Stegostoma tigrinum: one gene and its partners. The protein of the gene in region 1 interacts with the protein of each later gene in a pairwise test. Links are inferred from orthologs where the notes say so. Each region holds a gene or a part of one and is shown on either strand. Other genes may lie near its edges. The genes, in order: bbln, thap11 and atp6v1d.

The links.
Region 2: the proteins of bbln (region 1) and thap11 interact in a two-hybrid assay, tested with the Homo sapiens proteins (2 studies listed by BioGRID and IntAct). The link is inferred for Stegostoma tigrinum from reciprocal best matches to the Homo sapiens genes BBLN and THAP11.
Region 3: the proteins of bbln (region 1) and atp6v1d interact in binary tests that used the Homo sapiens proteins (3 or more experiments, as listed by UniProt). The two-hybrid records come from large-scale screens. The link is inferred for Stegostoma tigrinum from reciprocal best matches to the Homo sapiens genes BBLN and ATP6V1D.

Annotation. Positions count from the first base shown.
Region 1 is NC_081382.1:41,781,210-41,791,797, forward strand, and holds the start of bbln (UPF0184 protein C9orf16 homolog), read right to left. Parts: upstream 4,883-10,588; 5' UTR 4,792-4,882; coding exon 4,710-4,791; intron 1,153-4,709; coding exon 962-1,152; 3' UTR 1-961. Other genes in the region: ptgesl (prostaglandin E synthase 2), read left to right, coding at 10,148-10,402. UniProt on the Homo sapiens protein: Essential for intermediate filament organization in intestinal cells, interacts with intermediate filament and regulates intestinal lumen morphology.
Region 2 is NC_081369.1:18,231,422-18,241,538, forward strand, and holds thap11 (THAP domain-containing protein 11), read right to left. Parts: upstream 5,156-10,117; 5' UTR 4,977-5,155; coding exon 4,323-4,976; 3' UTR 2,226-4,322; downstream 1-2,225. UniProt on the Homo sapiens protein: Transcription factor, which has both transcriptional activation and repression activities. Also modulates chromatin accessibility.
Region 3 is NC_081363.1:69,338,514-69,349,003, forward strand, and holds the start of atp6v1d (V-type proton ATPase subunit D), read left to right. Parts: upstream 1-6,137; 5' UTR 6,138-6,696; coding exon 6,697-6,737; intron 6,738-10,332; coding exon 10,333-10,450; intron 10,451-10,490. Other genes in the region: eukaryotic translation initiation factor 2 subunit 1, read right to left, coding at 1,379-1,619. UniProt on the Homo sapiens protein: Subunit of the V1 complex of vacuolar(H+)-ATPase (V-ATPase), a multisubunit enzyme composed of a peripheral complex (V1) that hydrolyzes ATP and a membrane integral complex (V0) that translocates protons.

The DNA of each region.
Region 1 (10,588 bases):
GACAGGAAGATGAAAAAAATTGTTTAGGTTTTAAAAACACAGAATGGTTGGCAGAGGTTGTCATTTTGTTTTTAAAATTCAATTTACAAATTCAAGAAAAAGTTGTATTAAGGAAAAGACTTGTGTTTATACAGCCCTTTTCATGATCACTGGATGCCCCGAACTGCCTGACTGCCAGTGACACATTTGACATATAGTCACTGGTGTTGTATGTGGATAATAGAGCACTAATTTTCGCACAGCAAACTCCTACAAACAACAATGCAGTAAATGACAAACTGAAGCTGATTAATGAATAAATATTAGTTGGCCCACAAGGAAAAACTCTCAGACTCTGAAATTGCTGTCCACCTGAGAAGGCAGGGCCACAGCTTAAAACTTGAGAGACAGCACCTCTGTCAGTGCAGAACTTTTAAAGTATTACATTGGAACATCAGTCTCTTGTGTTGACATTCCGGTCTGGAACTTGAATCTACAACCTTGTGATTCAAGATGAAAAAGAGAGTGAGTGTTACCCTCTGAACTGCTACTTAGAGGAAAAAAAAATATTGTTTTTCCCAGTGGAGGCATGATCATGTGGTTTGACCTTCTCCAAATCAGTAGGACTAACCAGATGAACTTCAGGTATCCCATCAGGTCAAACATTCACCTTTTTTAGATCTTTGAATCCCACTGAAATAGAATTTCTTATTGCAACTCGCAAGTGGAAGATACACAACATGACATCTGTTACAAACGAGCTTCCTCCTAAAAGGAACAGGAATTTCAAAGCCAAAACCAATAGGAAGTGGTCAAAAGTAAATAAAGTTATCACAGGTAGAACTGCAACTCACTGATTAAAACTACAGTGCTTCGGTCACAGGAAAGTAAAGAGACTAGCAATGGTTACAGCTAATTAACATTTGCTTTTAAAATGCTTAAGCAGGACATGTAATATTACAGCTTGATACAGAGACAGTGATCAAAGTTGAGAGTTGTAGTCCTGGGAATCTTTTGGGGTTGGTGCCTGGACTTGTTGCCTGAATTCCATCCTCACCTGGCGATTTGACTCCAGCAATTCTCGAAGTTTTGCATTTAAAACATCATTTTTCTCCTCAAGGTTGTCCAAGCAAGAGTTGATCTGGTCAAGCATCAAATTGAGTGCAGCGTATTCTGCCAAAAGAGGGTGGAAGTGAGGTGAAGGATACAACATATCACAGTCAATAGAACTAGTTACAAAACAAAAAGGAACACACATTTATGCTCTGCCTTTCTCCACATAAGATTTTTATTTGTATATTTTTCATCTCCCAAGGTATTAAGACAGTTGGGCTTAGAGCTACTTGATCTAGCAAAGATATTCGCTAGAAACTAAAAGATATCTATATTAGCCTGATGCAGGACTTCTCAAAGAGGGGGTTGGGACTCCAAATGGCTTACAAGCAGCAATGATCATTGCAGAACTCTGACTAAATTATAGCAGCTTTGCTCCAGCTTCAACAGGCTCGTGCTCTCTCAAATCCACAGCAGTAACCCACTCTGCTGTCACTCAGGGGGGGAGAAATCTGGGAAGCAATGCACTAAAGACTGCTAGTATCAATGACAACACAACAACTTACATTCACAATCTTTGGACATCCTATGGCACTTTAAACAAGTAGTTTTCAGGTGTGGTCACTGTTTAAATGCAAGAAACACCACACAATTTGAATATAAGATAATAAAATGTGAGGCTGGATGAACACAGCAGGCCAAGCAGCATCTCAGGAGCACAAAAGCTGACGTTTCGGGCCTAGACCCTTCATCAGAGAGGGGGATGGGGGGAGGGAACTGGAATAAATAGGGAGAGAGGGGGAGGCGGACCGAAGATGGAGAGTAAAGAAGATAGGTGGAGAGAGTATAGGTGGGGAGGTAGAGAGGGGATAGGTCAGTCCAGGGAAGACGGACAGGTCAAGGAGGTGGGATGAGGTTAGTAGGTAGATGGGGGTGCGGCTTGGGGTGGGAGGAAGGGATGGGTGAGAGGAAGAACCAGTTAGGGAGGCAGAGACAGGTTGGGCTGGTTTTGGGATGCGGGGGGGGCGGGGGGAAGAGAAGAGAAGAGCTGGGCTGGTTGTGTGGTGCAGTGGGGGGAGGGGACGAACTGGGCTGGTTTAGGGATGCAGTAGGGGAAGGGGAGATTTTGAAACTGGTGAAGTCCACATTGATACCATATGGCTGCAGGGTTCCCAGGCAGAATATGAGTTGCTGTTCCTGCAACCTTCGGGTGGCATCATTGTGGCACTGCAGGAGGCCCATGATGGGCATGTCATCTAGAGAATGGGAGGGGGGAGTGGAAATGGTTTGCGACTGGAGGTGCAGTTGTTTGTTGCGAACCAAGCGGAGGTGTTCTGCAAAGCTGTCCCCAAGCCTCCGCTTGGTTTCCCCAATGTAGAGGAAGCCGCACCGGGTACAGTGGATGCAGTATACCACATTGGCAGATGTGCAGGTGAACCTCTGCTTAATGTGGAATGTCATCTTGGGGCCTGGGATGGGGGTGAGGGAGGAGGTGTGGGGGCAAGTGTAGCATTTCCTGCGGTTGCAGGGAAGGTGCCGGGCGTGGTGGGGTTGGAGGGCAGTGTGGAGCGAACAAGGGAGTTACGGAGAGAGTGGTCTCTCCGGAAAGCAGACAGGGGTGGGGATGGAAAAACGTCTTGGGTGGTGGGGTCGGATTGTAAATGGCGGAAGTGTCGGAGGATGATGCGTTGTATCCGGAGGTTGGTAGGGTGGTGTGTGAGAACGAGGGGGATCCTCTTAGGGCGGTTGTGGCGGGGGCGGGGTGTGAGGGATGTGTTGTGGGAAATACGGGAGACGCGGTCAAGGGCGTTCTCGATCACTTTGGGGGGGAAGTTGCGGTCCTTAAAGAACTTGGACATCTGGGATGTGCAGGAGTGGAATGTCTTATCGTGGGAGCAGATGCGGCGGAGGCATTGGGAATAGGGGATGGAATTTTTGCAGGAGGGTGGGTGGGAGGAGGTGTATTCTAGGTAGCTGTGGGAGTCGGTGGGCTTGAAATGGACATCAGTTACAAGCTAGTTGCCTGAGATGGAGACTGAGAGGTCCAGGAAGGTGAGGGATGTGCTGGAGATGGCCCAGGTGAACTGAAGGTTGGGGTGGAAGGTGTTGGTGAAGTGGATGAACTGTTCGAGCTCCTCTGGGGAGCAAGAGGCGGCGCCGATACAGTCATCAGTGTACCGGAGGAAGAGGTGGGGTTTGGGGCCTGTGTAGGTGCGGAAGAGGGACTGTTCCATGTAACCTACAAAGAGGCAGGCATAGCTGGGGCCCATGCGGGTGCCCATGGCCACCCTCTTAGTCTGTAGGAAGTGGGAGGAGTCAAAACAGAAGTTGTTGAGTGTGAGGACGAGTTCAGCTAGGCGGATGAGAGTGTCGGTGGAGGGGGACTGGTCGGGCCTGCGGGACAGGAAGAAGCGGAGGGCCTTGAGGCCATCTCCATGCGGTATGCAGGTGTACAGGGACTGGACGTCCATGGTGACTATGAGGTGTTGGGGGCCAGGGAATTGGAAGTCCTGGAGGAGGTGGACGTGGGTGGTGTCACGGACGTAGGTGGGGAGTTCCTGGACCAAAGGGGAGAAAATGGAGTCCAGATAGGTGGAGATGAGTTCGGTGGGGCAGGAGCAGGCTGAGACGATGGGTCGACCAGGGCAGGCAGGTTTGTGGATTTTGGGAAGGAGATAGAAACGGGCCGTGCGGGGTTGGGGAACAATGAGGTGGGAGTGCGGGGTTGGGGAACAATGAGGTGGGAGTGCGGGGTTGGGGAACAATGAGGTGGGAGTGCGGGGTTGGGGAACAATGAGGTGGGAGTGCGGGGTTGGGGAACAATGAGGTGGGAGTGCGGGGTTGGGGAACAATGAGGTGGGAGTGCGGGGTTGGGGAACAATGAGGTGGGAGTGCGGGGTTGGGGAACAATGAGGTGGGAGTGCGGGGTTGGGGAACAATGAGGTGGGAGTGCGGGGTTGGGGAACATCACACAACAACTTAATGTTAATGGAGAGTAAACATTCACCAGGATATCAGGGATTAGTATTGTTCTACTCTTCATCATTGACTGGATTTCAGTCAGATAACATTTTCATCTGAAAGGTTTCACCAACAAATACAGCACACCCTCGGGGGAATAAGCAAAGTGAAGGCTGAATGCTGAAAGTGACAGAGACGTACAGCAAACAAAAGACTTTTCAGTCCAACTTGTCCATACCGACAGATATCCTAGATAAATCTCATCCCATTGGGCCCAAATCCTTCCCATTCATATACCCAACCAGATGCCTGTTAAATGTTGTAATTGTACCAGCCTCCACCACTTCCTCTGGCAGCTCATTCCACACACGCTCCACCCTCTGCTTGAAAAGTCGCCCCTTTGGTCCCTTCTAAATATTTCTCCTCTCAGCTTAAACCTACGCTCTTTAGTTTTGGACTCCCATAGCCTTGGGAGCTTGACAATTCATCCTATCCAGGCCCCTCATGACTTTATATATTGGTATAAGGTCACCCCCAAGCCCGTCTCAGGGCCTTCGTGAAGGTGTCCAGTTGGAGGCGGGGGGGGGGAGTGTCCTATTAAAGGGTTTTGAGGGGGATGGGGTTGAGTCCGAATCGGGAGATAGGCAGGGAGCTGGATCTAGTGAATGCGATTTATTTGCGTGGGGGTCCGGTCGGATCCCTGTCCTGGGGTTTACCTTCCTCAGACGCTTCATCCTCCTCCTCCTGCTGCTGCTGCTGCCCCACAGTGACACTCGGCTCCCCGTTCGGCCCCGACATGTTGCTGAAGCTGAGACCGGAATCAAGGAACAGACGCCGCGATCCCGAACTTTGCCCCGTTCACCCCTGACCTTAACATGTAACAAACTCTCAGCTGTTCAAGGCCCCAATAACACGTGTCCCGGAAATGCCTTTAATCAATCTTCTCCACCTCTCCCCATTATAACACCCACCCCCGATAAAACACGACAATTTTTGTTTTCAATTCTAAGTATAACTTGAATCCTTTTTCTTTAAAATAAAATGATGACAGGCACAGAAGAAGCCTTCCATTATAGGGCTCGTTTGGGCAATCTGTGGACAGATTTATACACAGTTAAAGGGGTAAATCATAACATTATAAATTGATTTGCAGAAAGCAAAACATGAAAACGGAGTAAACTGAAACAGTAGGTAACGAATTAGAATTGCCTCAATTTTTGTGATGATATAAAATGTCCCTGCATTTGCAATAATAGAAACCAAAAGAACTGCGGATGTTGTAAATCAGTAACGAAAACAAAGTTGCTGGAAAAGCTCAGCATCTGTGGAGGAGAAAACAAGAGTTAACGTTTTGGGTCCAGTGACTGAGGAAGGGTCACCGGACCCGAAACGTTAACTCTGTTTTCTCCTCCACAGATGCTGAGCTTTTCCAGCAACTTTGTTTTTGTTCTTGCATTTATATTGTATCTTTCATGACTTCAGTGTTTTCCACAGCGTCTTCAAACACGCATCTATTTAATAACTAATCATAGAACAGTACAGCTCAGCACAGGCCCTCTGGCCCACGAGGTTGTGCCAAAGTTTTACCCTAAACCTAAGGTCTATCTAACCTCCAACCTTACCTTATACTATCATCCATAATCACTGATGCAACTTCTTCATTGTTCATCAAAATAGTGGCGTGGAATCTTTTATGGCTATCTGATTGTGCCTTGGTTTAAAATCCCACCTCAAAGACAGTATTGTGCCTCCAATGCACTCTCACAGTACTTTACTCAGAATTTTAGAACATTACAGCACAGTACAGGCCCTTCAGCCCTCGATGTTGTGCTGACCTGTCATACCGATCTGAAGCCCATCTAACCTACACTATTCCATGTACATCCATATGCTCATCCAATGACGACTTAAATGTACCCAAAGTTGGCGAATCTACTACCGTTGCAGGCAAAGCGTTCCATTCCCTTACTACTCTCTGAGTAAAGAAACTACCTCTGACGTCTGTCCTATATCTTTCACCCCTCAATTTAAAGCTAAGCCCCCTCGTGCTCGCCATCACCATCCTAGGAAAAAGGCTCTCCCTATCCACCCTATCTAACCCTCTGATTATTTTATATGTTTCAATTAAGTCACCTCTCAACCTTCTTCTCTCTAATGAAACAGCCTCAAGTCCCTCAGCCTTTCCTCATAAGACCTTCCCTCCATACCAGGCAACATCCAAGTAAATCTCCTCTGCACCCTTTCCAAAGCTTCCACATCCTTCTTATAATGTGGTGACCAGAACTGTACGCAATACTTCAAGTGCGGCCGCACCAGAGTTTTGTACAGCTTCACCATAACCTCTTGGTTCCGGAACTCGATCCCTCTATTAATAAAAGCTAAAACACTGTACGCCTTCTTAACAGCCCTGTCAACCTGGGTGGCAACTTTCAATGATCTGTGTACACAGACACTGAGATCTCTCTGCTCATCTACACTGCTAAGAATCTTACCATTAGCCCAGTACTTTGCCTTCCGGTTACTCCTACCAAAGTGCATCACCTCAAACTTGTCTGCATTAAACTCCATTTGCCACCTCTCAGCCCAGCTCTGCAGCTTATCTATGTCTCTCTGCAACCTACAACATCCTTCGTCACTATCGACAACTTCACCGATCTTAGTGTCGTCTGCAAATTTACTAACCCATCCTTCTACGCCCTCATCCAGGTCATTTATAAAAATGACAAACAGCAGTGGACCCAACACCGAACCTTGCGGGACACCACTAATAACTGGTCTCCAGGATGGACATTTCTCATCAACTACCACCCTCTGTCTTCTTTCAGCAAGCCAATTTCTGATCCAAATTGCTATATCTCCCACAATTCCATTCCTCCGCATTTTGTACAATAGCCTACTGTGGGGAACCTTATCGAACGCCTTGCTGAAATCCATATACACCACATCAACCGGTTTACTCTCATCTACCTGTTTGGTCACCTTCTCAAAGAACTCAATAAGGTTTGTGAGGCACGACCTTCCCTTCACAAAACCGTGCTGACTATCCCTAATCAATTTATTATTTTCTAGATGATTATAAATCCTATCCCTTATAACCTTTTCCAACACTTTACCAACAACTGAGGTAAGGCTCACTGGTCTATAATTACCAGGGTTGTCTCTACTCCCCTTCTTGAACAGGGGAACCACATTTGCTTTCCTCCAATCGTCTGGCACTATTCCTGCAGACAATGATGAGTTAAAGATCAACGCCAAAGGCTTGGCAATCTCCTCCCTGGCTTCCCAGAGGATCCTAGGATAAATCTCACCCGGCCCAGGGGACTTATCTATCTTCACCCTCTGTAGGATTTCTAATACCTCTTCCTTGTGAACCTCAATCCCACCTAGTCTAGTAGCCTGTATCTCAGTATTTCCCTCGACAACATTGTCATTTTCTAGAGTGAAGACTATTGAAAAATATTCATTTAGTGCTTCCCCTATCTCCTCTGACTCCACACACAACTTACCACTACTATCCTTGATTGGGCCTAATCTTACTTTCGTCATTTTTTTATTCCTTAAATACCTATAGAAAGCCTTAGGGTTTACCCTGATCCTATCCACCAACAACTTCTCATGTCTCCTCCTGGCTCTTCTGAGCTCTCTCTTTAGGTCTTTCCTGGCTACCTCGTAGCCCTCAAGCGCCCTAACTGAGCCTTCACATCTCATCCTAACATAAGCCGCCTTCTTCCTCTTGACCAGAGATTCCACCTCCTTCATAAACCACGGCTCCCGCGCTCTACAGCTTCCTCCCTGCTGACAGGTACATACTTATCTAGGACACACAGGAGCTTTTCCTTGAATAAGCTCCACATTTCTAATGTGCCCATCCCCTGCAGTTTCCTTCCCCATCCTATGCTCCCTAAATCTTGCCTAATCTCATCGTAATTGCCTTTCCCCCAGCTATAACTCTTGCCTAGTGGTATACACCTATCCCTTTCCATCACTAAAGTAAACATAACAGAATTGTGATCGCTATCACCAAAGTGCTCACCTACTTCCAAATCTAACACCTGGCCAGGCTCATTACCCAGTACCAAATCTAATGTGGCTTTGCCCCTTGTTGGCCTATCTACATACTGTCAGGAAGCCCTCCTGCACACACTGGACAAAAACTGACCCATCTATAGTACTCGAACTGTAGTGTTCCCAGTCAGTATTTGGAAAGTTGAAGTCCCCTATAGGTATATAACTCTGCTGAACAGATTGATGAGAAAATAAAAATCTACAAGAGCGAGTCTTGAACCCAAGGGTCATAGAATATAGAACAGTTTTCTGAAGAAGGGTCTCAGCCCGAAACGTCAGCCTTCCTGCTCCTCTGATGCTGCTTGGCCTGCTGTGTTCATCCAGCTCTACGCCTTGTAGCACAGAAACATGCCCTTTGGCCCACGATGCCTCAAATACCATGATGCCTCTCAAAACTAATCCCATCTGCCTGCACATGGTCCATATCCTTGCCTTGTTTATGTGTTTGTCCGGATGCCTCTTAAACTATGCTGTAGCCGAGTCTTCTCTCCCTCACACGTTAGTCTGGACTGCACTTCTGGAAGCAAAAGGAAGTTTTGAAAGCGGTGTGGTCAGGGTGGAGATGTCCAAAGATGCGCTGTTTAGGTGGATGGCCATGCTATTTTGGCCCATAGTGACCAGGGACGTACAGCCGAGGTGGGTTAGCCATGAGAAATGCAGGGCTATGGAGACAGACTCAATTTTTGGTTTGGATTTTGAATTCAAATCTCTGTGGTGTGGTGCTTGATTACATAACTCTCTGTCATGTGTGGGCCATAATGGCCTGATCTGGGTGTATATGCTTTATTATATATCAATTTCTTAACCTCAATTGCCAAAGAAAATACTGGCCACCTTTCTCTCAAAGTTGCTGACACTGTTAAGCCCCATCACATGTGCTAAGATTTAAAGATCTAAGTTAGTAATCAGGATTCAGAACTTGAAACAAAAGCAGAAGTTTCTAAGAAAGTCAGCAGGTCTGACAGTATCTGTGGACAGAAAGCAGAGTTAATGTTTCAAGTCCAGGGACCTTCCTTAAGAACTTGCTGCTCACCATCCTAGCTTGGAAATATATTGCCGTTCCTTCACAGTCACTGGGTCAAAATCCTAGAATTCCCTCCCTAAGGGCATTAAGGGTCTACCTACAGCAGAAGGATTGCAGCGGCTCAAGAAGGCAACTGGAAACAGCCATTTAATACTTGGTCTAGCCAGTGATGTCCACATCACAAAGAATGAATTTTTAAAAATAGTAATATCTTGTAGATAATGATCTAGAACTAATATGTCATTTAAACAAAATGCCTTTTGACCTGAAAAATGTTTGAGGATCATTGCTGCCTGGTCATCAAGGGATTTGGGGATAGAGTCGGCAGTAGAATTGAGGTAGAGGATCCAATCAAGTGGCAGAGCAGGCCATATGACTTCCCAGTTTTCCCATTTTGCATGTTCACTAAGCTGGTTGTATTTGACTTTTATTGTAAGATGGCACATTCTAATAAAGTTTTGACTTAATTCATCAAGTTTTCTTTTATTTGCCTGTTTTGGCCTTTATTCATTGTGTCCCTCAGAAGAAGGTAGTATTTCCAAGGTGATGATACTAGAAGATTAGAAGACGCACATGTTAGATTGGGTTGTTTGGAAAACACATTTAGATCTGAGGTAGTGGGAACTGCAGATGCTGGAGAATCTGAGATAACAAGGTGTGAAGCTGGATGAACACAGCAGGCCAAGCAGCATCTTAGGAGCTGGAAAGCTGAACCCAATGAATCTTTTCAGAAAAAAAGATTTCTGAAGAAGGGCCCTGACCCAAAATGTCAGCCTTCCTGCTCCTGAGATGCTGCTTGGCCTGTTGTGTTCATCCAGCTCTACACATTTAGACCTGAAAAGGGATTTAATAGTGAGCCAATAATTTATGTCGTATAACCAAAATTAAGTGAATCATTAATTTATTATTTGCTTCGAATAATAATGTAGAAGATGAACAACTACGTCCTTAGGTGAAAATCGGAAGGCTGTATATGAAAGGTGGAGTGTGTGGGTCGGTCTATAGTAATTCAGCGGAGTACACCTTTAAGAAGATCTGGAGGAAATCTGGTTGTGTAAGGTCGACATGGCAGCTTCCTATATCAGAGTGAGGAGAGTTTGTGCTCGGCTTGTGGCTTGCAATGGACAAGCCCTCGCACTACAGCCTGGCAGCAGGTTCTACGGGCAAGGCAGAGGTTTGCAGAAGTTACCAGGAGGTCTGAAAGTTGGTAAAACTGCCCTGAGTGTTGCATTTGTGCTGGGTGGGACCTTGGGATTGTACCACACGGTCAGGCACTGCCTGAAGCAAGAGCTGCACCGTGCTCAGCAGCAATACCCGAAGGTAAATGCGAGTTTATAGCACAAAAAGAGTACTTCAGGGGCTGCTAGTAACTTACAGCCAGATAGAAAAGTCTGTACTGCTCACCAGTTAGACTGAATCCTTACATTATTTGGGGAGGGGTTTGGAGGGAAAATGAGCGTCGATTTTTTTTGTTGTATAGCATTAATTAAACACAATGGGTTCTCT
Region 2 (10,117 bases), on another chromosome or scaffold:
ACAGCATTTGTAACATGCACAGTGAGAGTGCTGACAATGGACAGTCACTCATTTGTCAGATCCATTATTGGTGTTTTTGGTCAGGTAGAGTGAGCGGCAGGACAATGCAATTTTGGAAACTTGTGGGTCACAAATCCCAGAAAATAACTTTAAACAGAAAATGCAAGTGATGTTTGTGGCATCTGCTGTTTTGGCACTGCAAATCAATGCTCCTATACATGTATGGGTACTACAGCACCAAGCGATGGAATTCACAATAAACACAGCCTTAGACAACACTCTCCTTTAAAGGATATCAAGAATGAAGGTACTAATTATGAGGCTACAATTAGAAACAGTAATAGATCTCTTGGCCTCATTCATCTGCTCTGCTATTCAATAAGGTTGTAGTTGATCTGATTGTGGATTCTTATGGAGTTTAGAAGAGTCAGAGGTGGCTTAATAGAAGTATGCAAGATTCTGAGGGGATTCAACAGGTGAATGTGCAGTAGTGTTTCCTGTTGTGGGAGAATCTAGAAAATGGGTCATTATTTAAAAACAAGGGTTCATCCATTTAAAACAGAGATGAGGATTTTTTTTCTCTCTGCAAAGTTTGTCAACTTTAGAATTGCCTTTATCAAAAAGCTGTAGATGCAAAATCTTTCAAGATTTTTCAAAGCAGCAATGATTAACTGGGGTTCTTGTGAAGATTTGTAGCTCGGGTTGTGGATGAGGTTATTGGATTGCTCGCCAAGCTGGCTGGTTATTGTACAGATGTTTTGGCACCATGTTGGGTAACATGTTGATGTTAGCAACAAGCCAACAACCTCAGCAGTGATAATTGTCAGGAGTTTGCAGGAATGTGCATTTGAGGTTAAAATTAGATTAGCCACAATCTCATTAAATGGCAGAGCAGACTACTACTGATTGCCTACTCTTGTTCCTTGTTTGTATGTTGAAGTAACCCTTATAATCAATCGTGATTATATTAAAATAAAGGTGATTACAGTAATACAATAGTTACAAAATTAAGACACCGAAAGGTTTAGTCTTTTAAATTGGTCACTCAAACCCTGAATAAGATTCAAAATTTATTATTTCAGTGTGTGTATTGGCTTTGTCAAACTGTGGGCCACTTTACTTCAGTGAGTCTTTATTATTACAGAAATGAATAGTGAAAGTTAACCCAAAGGCTACCTCGTCATTGTGACCACATCAAGTGGAGAAGGGGACCTTAAAAAAAATCTTATCCCAACCTGCATATTCACCATGTTAATATTATACTTCACATATTGGTGAGAAATCTTTATAATTACCATGTTTCATACTGTTGATACGTGATGTTTGACAGTGAAAGCTCAATATTTGTGACAATGCTGCTGCATGCTTATGAAGAATTAACTTGTAGTTAATTACTAGGTTGTTCTGCTCCCAGTACAGAAATATGTTTCTTCTCTTAGTCATCATCATTTATTTAAATGTATATATAAATTTACAAGGATGCTGCCAGTACTGAAGGAACTGAATTATAGGGAGAGGTTGGACAAGGGACGACTTTTTTATTTAGCGTGTAGGAGATTGAGGGATGATCTTATAGAAATGTATAAGATTGTGAGATACATGGATAGGGTGAACACACTCTCAGTCTTTTTCCCAGGATTGGGAAATTGAGGACTGGAGGGCATCAGTTTAAGGTAAAAGGGAAAGAATATATGGGAACCTGAGGGGCAACTTTTTAACACAGAGGATGATGTGCATGTGGAACGAGCTGCCAGCATAAGTGGTTGAGGCGGATATGTTCACAACATTTAAAAGGCATTTGGATGAATACATGGATAGAAAAGGTGTAGAAGGATATGGGCCAAGTGCAGGAAATGGGGTTAGCGTGGACAGACATGTTGGTTGGCATGGACCAGTTTGGGGGAAACGGAGTGTTTCCATGCTGATGGACTTTGTGTCTCTATCATTTGGTATTCTTATCCTTTTGTGAATGTTATCAGAACTTAATGAATGTTAGTTGTTATCAAAATGTAAACTCTAAACAGAATGAGAGCTGTAAAAACTGTGTATTATAACCAGAATCAAAGAGGGGTAACAGTGAAATAGAGACTTTGTTTTATTTGAACAGGACTTAATTACAGCAAGTGATTAGTTAGCTTTAGAGACACTGTCAGTTTAAATTGAACTCACTGGCAGCAACTGTTTATTTTAAATGATATATATTCAATTTATCACTGTTGCTGGCATGGTAGAAAAATGACTTTTATTTACATAGCACCTTAAAGTGCTCTGGACATCCCAAAGCATTTTACAACCAATGATGAATACATTGAGAATTAAGAGGCAGAACAATATAGGTCAAAAGTTAATAAAGTTGATTGTGATGGTTATACTCATGGCATTTGGCACACCATGAAACATCCAGGTAATCAGCTACAGATTATTTCAGACTAATGCTGCAGTAATGATGTCACAATCATTAATCCTTCAAAGTGAGACTCCTCACTTAACAATTACCGCCACTGGAGTCAGTATTTTAAGTCATTAAAATAAAAACAGAAGATGCTCAGAATACACAGTAGCTCAAGATTGCATTTGAAAAGAGAAAAAGCAGATTCTGATATGTCAGATAGATGCCATTTTTTCTGAATAATAATAACACTATCACAAATGAGCTAGTCCATGAGTCCAAATGAGTTGGCCAACAGGATGAAAGAGAACAATAAAATTAGCCATTGATGAATAGAACCTCTCTGGAACTGACTTTCTGAATGTTTCAGAGATAATGGGAACTGCAGATGCTGGAGAATTCCAAGATAATAAAATGTGAGGCTGGATGAACACAGCAGGCCAAGCAGCATCTCAGGAGCACAAAAGCTGACGTTTCGGGCCTAGACCCTTCATCTGAATGTTTCAGTGCTTTCCAAAATTTGCATTCAAAGATGTAAATATTTCTACTGAAAACCACTGCAACTTTGAAAATTATAACTTAAAAAATCCTTCTCTCCAGCAATATTTTGTGTCTGATGTAGTTACCGGGGCAGGAAGATAAAATTATTTGAACTTTGTTTCAATCTTGTTATCCAAATTCTCATTAAGGGTAATGATTTGTGTTCATCAGCAGATATCTGTTAATGCTATTTATAGCGTCAGGTTATTGAAATAATTATTTGCAATTTTACAGTAATTCTTCAAGGTGCAAGGTGTTCACTATGCAGATTAAGTAGTGTACTGTTGTAATATTTGGGAATCATTTAAGATCTAGCCAACAACTGATAACCATTTTAATTATTTGTAGGTTTATGAAATTGTTGTTTATTTCAGTATGAGAGATGAAAGCAACGTTGGCATTATTTGACCTGTTTGAATAAACTTAGTACATTATTGTGAAGAACTTTCTGTAGTGATTACATGATAAATTACTTATTCAGCATTCTGTTTAACTTTTGGAATGTATTTCTGTGAAATTTCATTTAGAATTGTGTTTTTCAAACAGTAAATGACTGAAAAGTTTTCACTTTATAGTTATAGTGCTTTATAGAGGTGACGTAAAAAATGGATACAGAGCAAAAGAAGGAAGTATTAGAAGGGGTGACTGAAAGGTTTTTTAGACCTATGTTTAAAGGAGGGATTTAGATGAGGAAGGTCAGTTGGAGAGGTTGAGGAAGAGAATGCCAACACCAGCCTAACCAATATAACTGTTTGAGAGTATTTAAGTATTGTTCTATCTCTTTGTTTGTTTGTGTTTAAAGTCTCACAATTGTATTAAAAACACTAAAAAAGTAAAAATCTTTTAAATCAATTTACAAAGTGTAACCATGAGAGGATTTATTATACTTTTTATGGTTATTGTTGTACAGTAACTTAATGTAGAGGGCAATATACAAAATAATAGGGAACTACTAAATTTATAGCATCATTATAATGGAACAAAAACATTGATTCGTAACACAGAATACATTGGATTGTGAATGCACTGTTGCTCGAGTGGAATTTGGACCTTTTGTGGTGCCTTGTTGCTTCACTACTTCCTAAAGTTAATTTTAGTACTGCATCCATGCAGAATGTCCCTCGGATTTGACCTGTCGTATGAAACACCCGGTAACTAGGGGTGCATATCGTTTGGGATGCGCGCACACACACACACACAGATTAAGCAAGTGGTCTCACACTATTTTATCACATCTGAAATATCACACGAAAAGTCCTAACATCCTGTGCCATGACGGCACATGATCCTCGTATTTGTCTTTTTTTGTTAAATTCTATTCTTCCTCGGGTTCGGTAGCTGCGAAATGTTTGTGTAATATATATAATATATATATTATTTATAAAACAGGCAGTCACATTCCATGTTTCTTCCTGATGACCGACATGGACAGTAATTTCTCCTTATTCCTCAGCTCCTCCCGCAGGATGGCCTCGCTGACCTTCAGTTGCCGGATGGTGCCTTTCATCTCCTTGATCTTCACCTCCATCAGGGCGATAATGTCCTTCTGCTCGTTGAGTTTCCTGAGCAGCTCCTCGGAGGTGGTGGTGGAGGAGAGTGAGTAGGAGTGATCTAGGCACTCGGGAGCCTCGGGGCGAGGGACAGCGGCGGCGGCGGCCGGGAGGGAAGGCGAGGACGAGGAGGACGAGGACGAGAAGAAGTAAGGTCCGGACAGGTCGATGGGCTTGACGTCCTCCTGGCCGGCGGCGGCTGCCGGCAGCTTCTTGCGGGAGCGCCTGATCTTCCTCTCGTTGACCCCTCGGAGCGGGAAGATGGTCGGGACCTTGACTGAGTAGGTCTTCCTGCCCCCGGGGAAGTGGGCGCTGCACACCCGGTGTCCGGTGGTAGGGTAGAAGGTGCTGAAGCAGCCCGACACTCCGGTGCGGGAGATGTTCTGAAGCCAGAGTCGGCGCTGCTCCTCATCCTTGGGGAAAGTGTAGAAGCGGAGCTCCCGGTCCCGGTGCGAGTTGTTGTAGCAGCCGGGCACGCAGCAGGTGAAGCCGGGCATCCTGCCGCTACGATCCCCAGGGCCAGCGCTGCCCGAGAGGCCTCTTTAATCGCAGGCCTGGCTCCCCGGACTCTCCTGTTCACACAATGCCCCCTCTTCCCCACTCAAATCCCCCCGGGTTTATTTATTTTCCCCCCAAACACCGAGTTGGCTGCAAAGCGCAGGCCGCGCGGCGGAACTACATCTCCCAGGGTGCAGCGCGACACACACAGCCACTTCCGGTCAAACAAAGAAACTGCTGCGAAAAAGGAGCATTAACTTTCAAAAATAATGAATGCATCGTTGAAACATCTTCGCACGTTTCTGCTGATTTGTATATAGTTATTATTACAGCAATCAACACTCACAAATTCCACTTAGTGTTTCCATTTTATTATATATTTTGCATCGTACCATCGCATTTTTGTGTTACTGTCACTCTGCACCCAAAGCAATAGCATTTTATTATACGAAAATAAGCGAGAGCTTGCTACCAAAGTTCACAGAAATAGCTAAAAACTGCATTTATAAATGATGTAAACCAGACCGTATATTTTATCTATTTTGTTCACAGGAGGTACATGACAATCCTGTTTGAAAATTGATCAATAAATTAATTTTACTGATACAAAAACAAAATTGCTGGAAAAGCTCAGCAGGTCTGGCAGCATCTGTTAAGGAAAAAGTTGAGTTAATGTTTAGGTTCCGATTACCCTTCCTCAGAATTGGATCATTTTGAAAGAATCACTGGACCCGAAAAGTTAACTCTTGTGTTTTTCCTCCACAGATGCTACCAACCTGCTGAGCTTTTCCAGCAACTTTGTGTTTGTTCCTGATTTACAGCATCCACAGTTCTTTTGGTTTTTAATTAGTTTTACTGATGATGTTTATCACATTTAAGGTGTTATCTCAAAGCTTTTTTCCGATTGAAATTTTGAAAATTGTGGTTGAACTCATCCACCGCCAATAAAGTTACAAAAGTCAATTTCTGCCAACAGTAGAAGTGATATCAGTGAAAGTGACTATGATGTGGGTGAGCCGGTGTTGGACTGGATGAACAAAGTCAGAAGTCACACGATAGGTTTATTTGAAATCACAAATCAGGTGAAGTGGCCACAGTCCCAGACTCTCATTAGAGAGAGAGAGAGACAACTATTGGTGCGTTTAACCTGAGGGTCACCATGCCTCAGTCAAAGGGTCAGTTCAGGAAGGTGGAACCTTCACATGATCTAAGCTGACGCAGGAATTAAACTGACGTGGTTGGTAACACTATGCATGATAAACCAGTTATCCAAACGACTGAGCTCACCAACTTCAAATGGTAGATTTGCCAATGGAAGATGAAGTTAATGCATAGTTGTTGAAGATAATTGTGCATCCTGAAATTAACATAATTGAAAAAAAATTAAATTTTTAAGTATGCCATCATCTGATAAAAAACTTCTTTATTTTATAAGAAAACACTCCCGTCTCTTACAAATAACAAAGAAGATGAATAAACATGAGGCTGTATGTTCATCCACCTGCTGTTTACAGGATGTGCAGAGCCCTTGGGTTTGAAAATTATTTTATTAGTAGAAGGACAAGTATCCCGCAGTATAATTTTAAACAATCTATTCTGAGTATGCATGGAACTTTTTAACAGTGCATATCACATTGATTTCAAATCTCACTGTAACTCATTGGAATTTAAGTATAGGTAGTGTGACAATTTATAGGCTGGCACCAAATGAAATAATCATGAAAATGCTGCATTATTGTAAGAATTCTAATAACACTCATGTTCTGTCTGGATCCATACATTTGTTGCTTTGAGGGCAACTATGACTAGGTGAAAAATGTAACATTGCTCCTATTCTGAGGACAAATTATGTATATACTATATATTTAATACTAGTCTGTCAAAGAAGTGGAAATATTTATTTACTGTGATCATGATAACCATTCAGGACTGCCAGCAGGCTAGCATCCCATGGATTCACAATTTGATCACAATATTTTGCACGTCGTTGCTTAGTCGGCTTAACATTAGCTCCACATTGTCAGACAGTATTGTTCAAGCTAAAACCAGAACCAGTAATTGTTTTAATATTTTTAATTTACACAAAAATTAATTCTGGAGAATCAGTTTTTACAATTATTGATACTGAATATTTAAAATTTGCCTTGAGATTTAAATAAGTCATTTTGTAATGGAATTATTTTAACTGAGATGCCAACAGACATAATGGGCCCTTTGTTTTTATCGCCAAATTTTGTCTCATTGCAACAAGATGGAAACAAAAGGTTAAAATGAGGGAACTGCAAAATCTCAATACTTGGCTTCATTTATACGCCTCCAAGGTTGGGGGTATGTGCATTCGTCTAATCTTCCTATCACGGATATTCTGCAGCACAGAAGGAAGTGATTTTCCTCATTATGCCTATGCCTGCTTTTCAAATGAGCATTATGACATTGTGCCATTCTCTCACTTTTTTCCATACACTTCACATTGTTTCTATTCAAATAATCAGCTAATTGTCTCTTGAATGCTTTTCTTATACCTGCTCTAATATACTTTGATGCAGTGCATTCCACTCATTGAGTAAAAGTCTTTTCCTCACTTCCCATTTGCAAATCACTTTAACTCTGTGCCCTGTCATTCTTGATCCTTTACAAATGGAAACAGTTTCTTCCTAATTATTGTATCCATACACTTGCGGTTTTGAAAGCTTCAGTTAGATCTCCGCTTGGCCTACTTCCCTCCAAGGACAACAGTCCCAAATTCTCCGAGCTGTACTCATAACTGAAGTTTCTCTTCCCTGGAACCATTTTTGTAATGATGTTCTGCATTCTTCTTCATGTGCATTCACACCCTTCCTACAGGTAGGTACCTAGAACTGCAAAATTACTTCATCAGGGGTTGAACAAGTATCTTGTATAATTTCAGCAAATTGCCCCTGCTGTTGTATTCCATGCCTCTATCAAATAAAGCTCGGGTTACTGTAAGATCAGAGATAGCAAGAGCTGCTGATGCTGGAGTCAGAGTCAACACAGTTGAGCTGGAGGAACATAGCAGGTAAGGCAGCATCAGACGAGTAGGAAAGTCAACATTTCAGTTCGGGACCCTTCTTCAGAACTGGGGAGGGAGAAGGGAGCTGGGAAATAAATAGAGGGAGGAAGGATGGGGCTGGGGAATGATAGGTGGGATGGTGGTAGGTAGTTGCAAGTGGGGGAGTTGGGATTGATCAGTGGGAAGGGTGGGAAAGAAGATGGGCCAGTTGTGTCAGGACATGGAGGTCGGGATGAGAGGGAGGTTTGGACATGGGATGAGGTCAGGGCTGGGGAGATTTTAAACTTGGTAAAGTCTGTGTTCAGGCCGTCGGGCTGTAGGCTCCCGAGGTGGAATATGAGCTTTTGTTCCTCCAGTTTGCGTGTGGTGTCATTGTGGCACTGGAAGAGGCCCAGGATGAATATGTCATCAAGGGAGTGGAAGGGGGAGTGAAAATGGTTAGCAACTGGAAAGTGTTGTCCATAATCACATATAGAGAGCGCAGATGCTCCATGAAAGTCTGTGCTTGGTCTCTCCGATGTGGAGCAGGAGCAACAAATACAGTAGACCAGGCTGGAGGATGTACTAGTGAACTCCTGTCTGATATGGAAAGCTCACTTTCGGCCTTGGATGGAGATGAGAGAGGAGGTGTAGGGCAGGTGTAGCACTTCATGTGATTGCAGGAAAAGGTGCTGGTGTAGTGGAGAGTGTGTGGAGGGGATGAGGGAGTCGCGGGTGAGCGGTCTCTACAAAACGCAGATAGGGGTCTCCTCTCACCCATGCCCCCCATATAAGAATGTGATCCCTTACACCTAATTCCTCCACCTCCGCCTTATCTGTTGCCAGGATGGAGCGTTCCACTCTTGGACATCCCAGATGTCCTCAGGACTGCAACACCACACCCCCCTCCCTGTGATTAAAAATGCCCTCAACCACATCTCTTGCATTTCCCACACTGCTGCCGTAAAACCCTCTTTCCCCCCCAAACAAAAATAAAGACAAGTCCTCCTAGTCTTCAAATACCACCGCACCAACCTCTGCATCCAACATATCATTCTCCACCACTTCCGCCACCTACAATCCAACCCCACGACCAAAGAGTTTTTTTCCCTCCTTACCCCTATCTGCCTTTTAACTCCACCTCCCAATCCTGGGTGACATGTCCATCCTGGGCCACCTCCGGTGTCACAATGATACCACACACAAACTAGAGGAGCAACACATATTCTGCCTCAGGACCCGACAGCCCAATGGCTTTAACATTGAACTTCTACCACACAGATGAAATAATCTGGATGTAGGTTTGCTTGCTGAGCTGGAAGGTTCGTTTTCAGACGTTTCGTCACCAGTACCTCAACCTGAGCTACAAATCTTCTCAAAACTCGCTAGATAAAATAATTCCAGCAATCCTAAATGTACCATTTCACCAACTCTCTTGTGCCTCAACTCCTATTGTGTTATCAGCCTGGATAAGTCACAATTAATCTAAGTTAAAAATTGGACAGAGCACTGTGCATATTGTTGAGTTCTCAGAATAATATCCCATCTGAATGCAGCAGCTTCCAGAATGCAGCACTCCATTTTCAGGTTCTGTAGAAGGGTTTCAGATTTGAAATGTTAACCCCATCTCTCTCCACAGTGGTACTGCTAACTCTTTGAGTTTCTTCAGCAATTCTGTTTTTATTCACTCATTATCCTAGGTTGTACATTCAAGTTCCCTGAATTCTGTAAGTTAGGTTTCCGGGAGTATAAGGTCAGATGTACGCACACATCATACTACATCATCTCTTAGTTTGTTCCATTCTATATATAGTCAAAGGCAATGTAGAAGACTTGATGTAACATGTTGATAAAGGCATTGGACATAAATTGAAATCATGACACTTCTGAACTTTAATTTTCCCAGCAACAACAAAAGACAATCAACTGGCACTGAGGTATCCATCTTGACATGATGTTTTGCACTTGGAATATGGTATACCATTGTGCATCCTGGAAAATAACCTTCATTAAGTCGTTCCAGCTTCTGGGTTGATGTCCTGAATGATGAAGCAGTACTTCTGCCAGGTGTGGATGCCTAGAATCACAGAATCCCTACAGCATGGAAGCAGACCATTTGGCCCATCAAAT
Region 3 (10,490 bases), on another chromosome or scaffold:
ACTAAAGCAAGAGCACTAAGGCTCTCAACAACAATAAATTCACATTTATGAGAAATCTTCAATTTAATAAAACATCTAAAAGCATTTAGGAACATTAATGAAGAAAATGTGACATCACATAAGATCTCAGAACTGTTGCAAAAGGGCTAAATAATTGCCTTAAAAAAAGGAGAGCGATCTAGACAGTCAGTGAGCATTAAGGAGGGAATTCCAGGGTATCTGTAGGCGAGACCACAATTAAAAGCAATTAAATATCAAGCAGGCAGAATGCCAGTATTGGGAAATATGTTGAGTTCTTGGATTTGTGGGTTTGGAAGATTTACAGAGATAGACAGAGTGCAGACATAGAATACAGGATTAAGAATGAAAATTTAATTAAAACAAAAAATGCTTTGCCAGCCTGGAAGCCAAAAAAAGGTAAGCGCAAAGGTGACAGAGGAACAAGATTTGATGCAACTGGTGTTAGGGAGACCAGACAGGAAAACACTAGTAGAAATATTAAAATGCATGAATGATGGTTTCAGCAAACAAGTTGAAACAGGACCACAGACCATTATGGAAGTGAAAGCTGCCAGCCTTGTGTTAGGGACCAAGTGAATGGGTGGAAGTTTATCTTAGAGTTGAACATGTCGTCCAGTTTATTACAAGTCCTCTCTACCATTAAGTGGAGAGATCGAGTCAGTAGTTAGGGAAATGGACTTTTCAGAATGGGCTGATAAGAATGACTCAGATTCACCACATAGATAAATAAGACAAACTATCACAAGTTGCAATTCACACAGGACATTTGTACATTAATCAAAAAATGAAAATACTCCATTCAATTTTGATTTGGGAATTTATCAAGGATGGCCAGATCATATTTCAAATGTTAATTTGCTTTGTGGTCCAAACATGTTCCTAAGTAAATATGGGAACAGGCACAAGCAGCTGATATTATGTAAAATAACTGATTTATTTAGACCTCTCTCATCACAGCCTAACAAGCAATTTATTTTGAAGTAGGCACAAAAGACCAATGTACACAGAAACATGCTTGCTAGAATTGCCAGGAGATAAACATGATCTATAAGAACATTCCTGCTCTTCTCCCAAAACTATTGGAGCCGAAATATCTACAAGAGAGCAGCTGGGGCCATCATTTAAAGATTGATCCAAATTGCAATGAAACACTGCACCAGGACTCTAGACTTTGACCTCAAGCTCCCCAGTGGGTTTTGAACCCTCACCAGATGCCTCAGAAGAAAAAGCACAACCAGTGTGTCAGAGACTAGTAAACAAAAAGAATGAACTACTGCTGACGTCCCAGTTATCATCTTGATGGTGAGCCATTCCTGAATCTAAAAACATGACAAGATAGTTTGCACAACATGCATACCTTTCTCTTTGTCGACTCGGATTACAACAACACATTCATTTCTACCAATTCGAATCAGTTTGTTGATAGATCGGATACGCCTTCTTGAAAGTTCACTTAGAAGAATCATGCCTTCAATGTTGTTATATTCTAGAAGGCTGACATAGGCACCCATCTCCGCAATGGAGCGGACATTTACCATCACCACATCTTCTACCTCTGGAAACTTGTGTTGGTAAAACCGACAACTAAGAGCTGGCATTCTGAAATATGCAGAAGAAATCAAATTACACTTTGGTATTTCACACCAGAAAGAGCAGACAATGTATTATCGCTAGACTGCGTAAAAATGTGCAGAACCAACAGAATTGTAAAAGAATAATCGAGGAGAGGATAAAACAATAAGAGATCTTAAAAACCCACCACGCAATTTCAGTTTAACTGTACATATAGCTCATTTCAGCCTGGTAACTTCAAGTGAACAAAAAAAGGGAGACCAACACCCAACAATATTAAAAAAATTTCTTTAATTCAGAAGATCATTGCAGAATGCTTTAGATTCCAGAGAATGTGCTTTTTGAAATGTTGAAGTAATGTATAAAAGCATAAAACAAAATTTTCTTTTAGTTAATCCAGTTACTTCAGGAAGTTTGAGATAACAAGGTATACAGCTAGATGAACACTGCAGACCAAGCAGCATCAGACGAGCAGGAAGGCTGACGTTTCGGGTCTAGACCCTTGTTTACAACTCTGCTGAATACTTCTGGATGGTGTTCAGAATTACTTCATATTAAGGAATGGCACAGAATATATGTTTAAAATATGCTGGCATCCCACTTCCATGAAGTGGGATGAGTTCAATCAGTAGGAAGTTGAGCTAAACAAACCAGAAAGAAACCAATCATTGGCTGATCAAAGCATAAAAGCACATCATGTCCTACAATTTGTATAGGTAGAAGCTGGTTTTTTTTGAACATGCACCATCTCTGGTGGATGCAGAATACAGGATTTAGAGGCCTAGTTGAAAAATTAGATCATAAAAACTTAGGAGTGAAATCTGGAAACATTTCCAAACACAAAGTGGCAGAAATTGAGAAAATTTGGAAATTGGTGCGCAATCAAATATGCATGTTAAAATGGGAACTGACAGACTTTTGTTCATCAAAAGTGTTAAGGGAGGTGAGGCAAAGGCAGGAAATAGATCACAGATCAACCATGATCTCAATGACTGGTGAAAAATGATCAAGAAGCCTCTTCCTGGTTGTATCAACATATATGGATCAGACAGAGCAATGTGCTGTCTGCTCAGTGCAAAATAATGGGATTTGTACGATGAAACGTGTAGTTCATATAAATATTAAATTCTGGGACTTTGATTTCAAAACAGAAACAGGGTCAGTTCTGTGAACATAATCATTTTAAAAAGGGCAAAAAACTCATTTGGATTAGCAGCTAGATAAATGAATTAAGGCAACGTGTGACTTTAATCAAGTGCCTGACAGAATCCCTGTGATGTTAATAGATGAAACATTTATACTGTTGTGTTTACAACTAACCAGAAAGCCATCAGTTTTAGTTTTTGAGTTCAGTTCAAAACAGAAAACAATTTCTCTAAAGGTGGAGAATCAAGCTTTTCGTTCAAGGAAACAATCACTATAGCTGAAGAATTTAGTGTGTGGTGCTTCCAATTGAGAAGAGCTTGGATAGAAATTTCCAAGTTGATAGAACAGAAAAAGTTTAGGTTATCACAACTGGGAGCAATTCATGTCAGTAAAACTATAAAACTTCCCCTATGATCTGAGGGAAAGAATTTAGGAGGAGTTAGTTAAATAACAACTTAAGATTTGAGATAACAGTGAAATTTCAGCTGATTCTATCGATATAGTACTGAAGCTTGAATATTGTACATTGCACTGACTAGTGTTTTTACGTGAAATTTCTTTGTTAATGGTGAGGGAAAGAGTTAGAGAGAATTTGGAACCACAGGAATTTACCTATGAAGGTGTGTTTTCATGACCTAGCTTACTGCTAGAATAATTGAAAATCATCCCATTAGTTACACTTATCCTCAAAATCTCATCTCTTCTAATACTTTTCCCTTCCATTAAAAGATGCACTGGCTTCTGCTTTCACTGCTCTGTGTCAGAGCAGGGCAAGTTCCTGCAAGTTTATCCTAACTTGCCGAACTCATTTCAATTGATGTCCTCCTACAACTGACCCAGATTTTAAAACAGCTGTTGGCCAAATTGCCTCGCAACCCTTCATAATTTTAACCTCTTAGTCTTCTCTTGCTCAGTGGAAATGTTTCTGAACTCTCAAGCCTAAATTCTCAAAAAGATGAACACCAAATCATGAGGTCACAGAATGAAACAGAGCAGAAGAGACTGTTCAACCCATCGAGCCTGAACCAATACTGGCGGTTAGCCCACAGTCTTGAACGTTCTGACATGCCAAGTACTGAACCATGTACTTGTTATAGCATGGAGGCAATTTGTCTCTACCACCTTCCAAAGAGGCACATTCCAGACTGTCACCACCCTATGGATAAAAGATTTTTTCCACATATCTCTCAAACCTTCTGCCCTCACCACTGACCCTCCAACTAAGGGGAACAGTGGTTCCTTATCCACTATATCCATGCCCTTCATAATCCTGTACACGTCAATGAGATCGCCCTTTAGTCTTCTCTGCTCCAATGAAAACCCAAGCCTATCCAACCTTTCCTCATAATTCAAGCTTTCTGGCCCACAAGGCCAGTGCAAGATGCCAAAACAAAACTACACTTGTAATACAACAGATCAAGCCCTGGTGCTTCCATGGGAGCAAAAAGGCAGAGTATTCTGACAGCAAAGTTTCAGATGTAAAAGATGCCACTAGAAGCTGGATTTCCACTGGGCCCACAGTTTCAATTTTACTCCCATGAGGCAGAGTCTCACCTTGATTAAACAAGGCTGCAGACTGCCATTCCCAACACAGAAGAAGCCAAGGGACAACTTGCTGATAGGACCATGCATATGAATTGAATTCCATTAATTCCCCAGGATATAAAGAAACAAGACTGGACACCCTGGTGGAAGGCACTGTCCCTACTTCAGAGCCAGGAGGCCCAGCTTCAATCCTTCAGATGTGTGTCATAATGTATCTGAGCAGCTTGATTAAAATAAAGTACCACAATGGGACTCTTAGGAGGTACCTACCTCTAAGTCAAGGTGTGGGCCTAGGTTCTATGTGTGGAATGACATCTCTGAACAGATTGATTAGAAGATATCAACAGTACTAATAAAGTTTGATATTGACACTTTGTAGGAAGTTTCCAATCTGCCATTGGAGACTTGCACATGTAATTATTCCAACACCAAACAAGAAATTACAATGGAGCCATGAATCAACACCTAAGAACATATTTTGAGGCAGGCTTCAGATGTCTCAATAAACTTCAATCAGAAATCAACAGCAGCCTCCAGCCAACACTAATTGCATATATCAGTTCAAACTGACAATTAATCTGACCATTTTTGTGACACAACTGATACTTCATGGTACAATTTTCATTTCAATGCTATTTTCAATAATGATCATCTGTACTTTATTTCATGTAAATAGCTTCAGGACAAGGATTCAGATTTGGACAAGGCTAATAAAAAAAAATATCTATCTACAAAGAAATTAGAAAACTGAAAAGCAGTCAGCAATAATGCAGTCATACCTCATTTGAATACTTCATCCTACTCGTGACATAATGAAGATCTCTTTAAAACTTTAATTCCAAATACCTAGTCTGACAGAAGTATGAACTTCAAGCCAAACCTAGTTCAATTCCTAAATCAGCAAAGATAGAAAAGAAATTCCTTGATCACGAAGTGAATATTAAGGCCTTTCATCCCTTGGGATTTCACTTTAAGAATGATGCAATCAAAGTACCTTCCATCTGTGAACTTCAAGAATCCTCAGTTTAATCACAGTGGCTGTAATTATTTTCTAATCAACCTGTTCGTGGAATACCTCTGGAACAGATGGGACTTCAACCTGGATCTGCTGGGTCAGAAGTGGGGACATCACCACCCTGGAAGCTGCCACATTCCAGGTGGTAGCTTTAAAGTGGAGTGAAAAATGGCACGAGTGATAGAAAGAGGCCGCACAAAAAAAACACACAGAGAGAGAGAGAGAGAGAGAGAGAGAGGCCCGGATGGGCCCGCAGGTGAAGCCCGAGTTGAGGAGCCGACATGACCATAAAACATGCTGGCATTGGGCCGGAATCTAGATCCGCCTTAACCAGCGAATCAGTGGCGTGGGGGGTGGACTGCGGCTCCCGATATGAGGACAGCACTGGGACTCACTTACTTGAGCAGAATCTGTAGGCAGCGCTGCTGCGAACGAGGACGGTCAGCACCTCAGGCCCACACTCCGACTCGCGCTATTTCCGTTGTTCCCACAATTACTTTTCTACGCAGGCGCGACGCCGTTTTCCGTAACTGTTACGGCGCACGCTTTATTCTGCGCAGGCGCGGCAATGTTTATCCTCACGTTGCACCGCAGAATCTGAGATAACAAGGTGTACAGCTGGCTGAAGAAAACAGGCCAAGCAGCATCAGAGGTGCAGGAAAGCTAACGTTTCTGCAGCTCCTACTATCTCTGCACCGCAGAATCTCTCGTGCGCAGCGCAAGTACGTCCCTTCGCCAGAAACCCCGCTTCTGCGCAAGCGCGGAGCTGCGACCTGAAGCCGAGAGGAGGGCGGAGTGAAACGTCACTCCAAGTAACCTTGGAAGTCGCGATCGATATCGCGGAGCGGCCTTGATTTGTAGCATTCATTCATTAGACGCGACTCACACACATTGTGCTTTTGCACGATAGCTTTGTTAGGTTTTCGCTCTCTAGTATTGACGGAGGACTGGAAATGAAGGGGCAGCCGGGTGTAACGACGTGTCGCCGCCATCTTGGTAAAGGATCGTAGATAGTTAATAACAGCGAGATAAAACGGTGAGATATGGAATTGGCGAAGCAAACAGCAACACTAAGAGATACTTCATTTAAAAAAATTAAAATCCCCATCTAGAATATTTGGACGACGGTTAACCCGGTGGTGAGGGAGGTCACAGGTCACCTCCGCCCTGTCACGTGATGTTGCCAGCTGCTGATCCGTGGAAACCAACAATTTGCTCGAGTCGACCGAAGAAAGTTAGTAGAAAATTATAGGAGGAAGTAGCCCCACTAGGGCTTAGCCTTACAACCTGCTGAAGGTCACGGGACACTCCTTGTCGATTGCAAAGATTTTCATCTTTTCCACCAGCTATTGGATCTTCCCCCCCCCCCCCCCCCCCACCTCAAGAAATAGCCAAACATGTCAGGCAAGGAGAGGATTGAGATCTTCCCATCGCGAATGTGAGTGTCAGATTTTTGATTACGGTTTTTAGCCATCTCAAGTTTGACTTTTGCTTTAGTGCTCCGACCTGGAAATTTTAAAGTTTAGCATTTTAAATTTTGGCTCAGGTGAAGGGCTGTTGGAATGAAACTGCGTTTAAAAGTGCTGGCCCATTTCTTCCTGAATCATCGAACTATTTCCAAATAAAGGAACTTTTACAGTCGAAACTAAATAAAAATTGAGAGTGTCAGTCGGAGATTATAACACAGACAGATAATTAATGCAACGGTGCCCAATTTGCATGACAGATTCCAAAATTTCGCAATCCATTATTGGATCAAAATTGGCATTGCAATTAGAAATCTCTTACAAAAAATGCATGAATCACTACATATTGCTGAATTTTTAGGAACGTGTTGAATACAATAACATGGAAAGACAAACTAAACATTTGTTTGTTTAGCTGCATTGTGAAGATTTTTGAAATACATGTCACCCTCAATGGCTACAATGTTCAAGCTGATTGACTTTTGATTTTTGAAAAAGGTAGACAATAAGGGATGGGTGTCCTCTAAACAATTTTTATTAGACATACTATATAATACACCAATACTTGTGAGATTATGAAATGGTAATAATTCAAACATGGTAGAAATAATTATGAGCTCTTCTGCAGCTGTGGAATACTTTATTGATAATTAATGTTGCCAGAATTTGGAATTCACCCACAGCACATTGTTTCCAACTTTTACATTCTGTCTGATTTGGAAAAGTTGGTATTGTTACGTTGGCCATCTTCACAGCCCCCTTTACCAAAATTATTTAACTGCCATACATGGGAATAATTTCTCAGATGCATTGTTGTAAAAGTATAGCATATAGTAATTGTCTATACTGATAAGTGGCCATCCACATGCTGTGGTAGCACACCTACAGAGGAGGTGAATTCAAACCGTACTGCAGGATCTGAAATGTAACTGATCTAGTGTTTCAGCAGAATAATAAAGGGGTGCTGCATTGTTGGAAGTACTGTTTCTTGAATGGAATAACAGTTCAGGCTTGTCTGCGAGTTCACAAATGCGGGTAGTTCTGGCTAGTGTCCTGTAATAATCACTAAAAGCAGATGAGGTAGTCTTTTGATAATGGGAACTGCAGATGCTGGAGAATCCAAGATAACAGTGTGGAGCTGGATGAACACAGCAGGCCAAGCAGCATCTCAGGAGCACAAAAGCTGACATTTCGGGCCTAGACCCTTCGTCAGAGAGCCCGAAACATCAGTTTTTGTGCTCCTGAGATGTTACTTGGTCTGCTGTGTTCATCCAGCTCTACACTTTGTTATCTGAGGTAGTCTTTTAATTTCCTATCCATAAGTAAATTATAGAATCACTGATTCCATAGTGTCTGTACCAGTTCCTGAAAGATCTAGTCAGCTAGTCCTGTTCTCCAGCCCTATCTCCAAAACCCTAAAAGTTCCTGTCTTCCAAATATATATCCATCTGTCTTTTGAAACCTATGGAATCTGTCTCCACTGCACTCCCAGAGAGAGCATTCCAAATCCTAACAACTGAATAAAGAAGTTTCTCCTCATCTCACTCCTAGCTGCCTTGCTGACAATCTTGAAATTGTGACTGAGCCATTGACATACTAATTAGCAGAAATTTTGAACGCCTCAATAACGTCATATCTTAATCCTCTCTGTTCAAGGAGAATACGCGCAATTTATCTAATCTTGCCTTGTGTCTAGATACTCTAATTCCTGTTATCAATCTGGTAATATAAGATAACATGGTGTAGAGCTGGATGAACACAGCAGGCCAAGCAGCAGCAAAGGAGCAGGACAACTGACGTTTTGGGTCTCGAACTGAAATGCCAGCTTTCCTGCTCCTCTGATGCTGCCTGGCCTGCTGTGTTCATCCAGCTCTACACCATGTTATCTCAGATTATCCACTATCGGCATTTCCTACTATCTCTGCAGTCATTTTAGTAAACCTGCTTTGCAGTGTCCCCAGGGCTTTAGCATCCTTTCTTAAATAAAGTGCCCAGAATTGAACACACTACTCCAATAGGAACAGGAATAGGCCATTCAATAAGACCATTGCCTAACTCTATATGTCTGCATTGGGCCCATATCCCTTGACAATGTCCAATTTAAATTGACAGTTGAATTAGCATTGACTGCCATGTGAAGAAGAGAGTTCCAAAGCCTTCTACTGTGTGCAGAAGTGTTTTCTAGCGTCTCTCTCTTGAATGGCCTGGTCCTATTTCTTAGACTATGCACACTGATTTGAGAATGTTCCACTATTGGAAATAGGGTTATCCTGTTTTTCCCTGTTAATGTTCCAAAAACCCCATCTTGATCACCCCTGAACTTTCTAGGTTCTAGAGAATAAAGGTCTAATTTGTCCAACCCCTTCTCGTAACTGAACCCCTGAAATCCAGGTATCATCCATATAAATCTGTGTTGAACTACCTCCAGCACCAAGACAATGTTCCTAGGGTGGGGTGCCCAAGTCGGCTCTCAGATCTCTAAGTGGGGTCTGAGGTTTTGTATGACGGTAGCATAACACTTGCACCCTTATACTCCAGCCCTTTGGATATGAGGGCCAGCATTCTGTCAGTCTTCTTGACTATTTTCTGCACCTGCTCATAGCATGTGAAAGAGCTTTGACAATAAGTCCAAGCTGCTTTGATACTGTCATGAGAATGTGAAAGGGGCCATATTTAACATCTAACTCCTTTTACTTGATGTCCTCAGTGACCTTTTTTAATAGAAAAAAAGAACATTTTGGAATAAATATTTTGTATAAACAGTTGTGTGTACATTGACACCAGGAACTGGTTTGGGGGAGTTTAATACGTGATAGAATCAGGTAGCTGAACAAATTTCCATAGCCAAATTTTCACTAAGTCTGGACAACTCCGTTATATTTGTTGCAAAACTCTACCTCATGGATTCAATTTAAAAATGGTGCTGTTGGAACACAGGTTTTGAAAATTGAAAAAGGTTTTTGACCTGAAATATTTGGTTTGGAGGGAATAAATCCTTTTGTTCTACATGTTGTTAATCTGTCATATTAAATATTGTTGTGCTCGTATTGCATTTGTAAGATATCCAATTGAATGATTGATGTCAAGTATGTTTGTGTCGTGAACTGGCCCAAGTTAAATATTTCCCTTAACTGTTATTGAACTATTGTCCAGGTTTGGCTCAGACTTGGAATTATTCATCCATTCTTAAAATAAAATTGAAGTCCATCTGCTTGGTCATTGTTATAAAACACCTTTTTGAGGCAGGTGAGACTTAAACCTGGGTTTTCTAACTCGGAGGTAGGAACATTACACTATACTACCAGACCGCTCCATCTATTTATTTAGCAAGCTAAAGCCATTCATTGTTCCTCTTTTTAGAAGCATAAATGCTTCCTACGTGCACTGAAGCAAACAGGCTCTTCCCATCTTTATAAAGAGAAACATGAATGACCTTTTCTTAACACATCAAAATGAAAACTGGGAGCAAAAATGTCACGTCTTTCTGTCAGTGGAAGGGTTCCTGCTCATGCAAAGAAATGAGTGGGCAGAAGAAGTAAACCTAACCTTTTTTTGCATTTGCCACAGGGCACAAACTATAATGAAGGCCCGTTTGAAAGGTGCTCAGACTGGTCGCAACCTACTGAAGAAAAAGTCTGATGCCCTTACACTTCGCTTCAGACAAATCCTGAAGAAGATTATAGAGGTGAAATTTATTTTCAAGGAACAATTATAATAAATTTAAC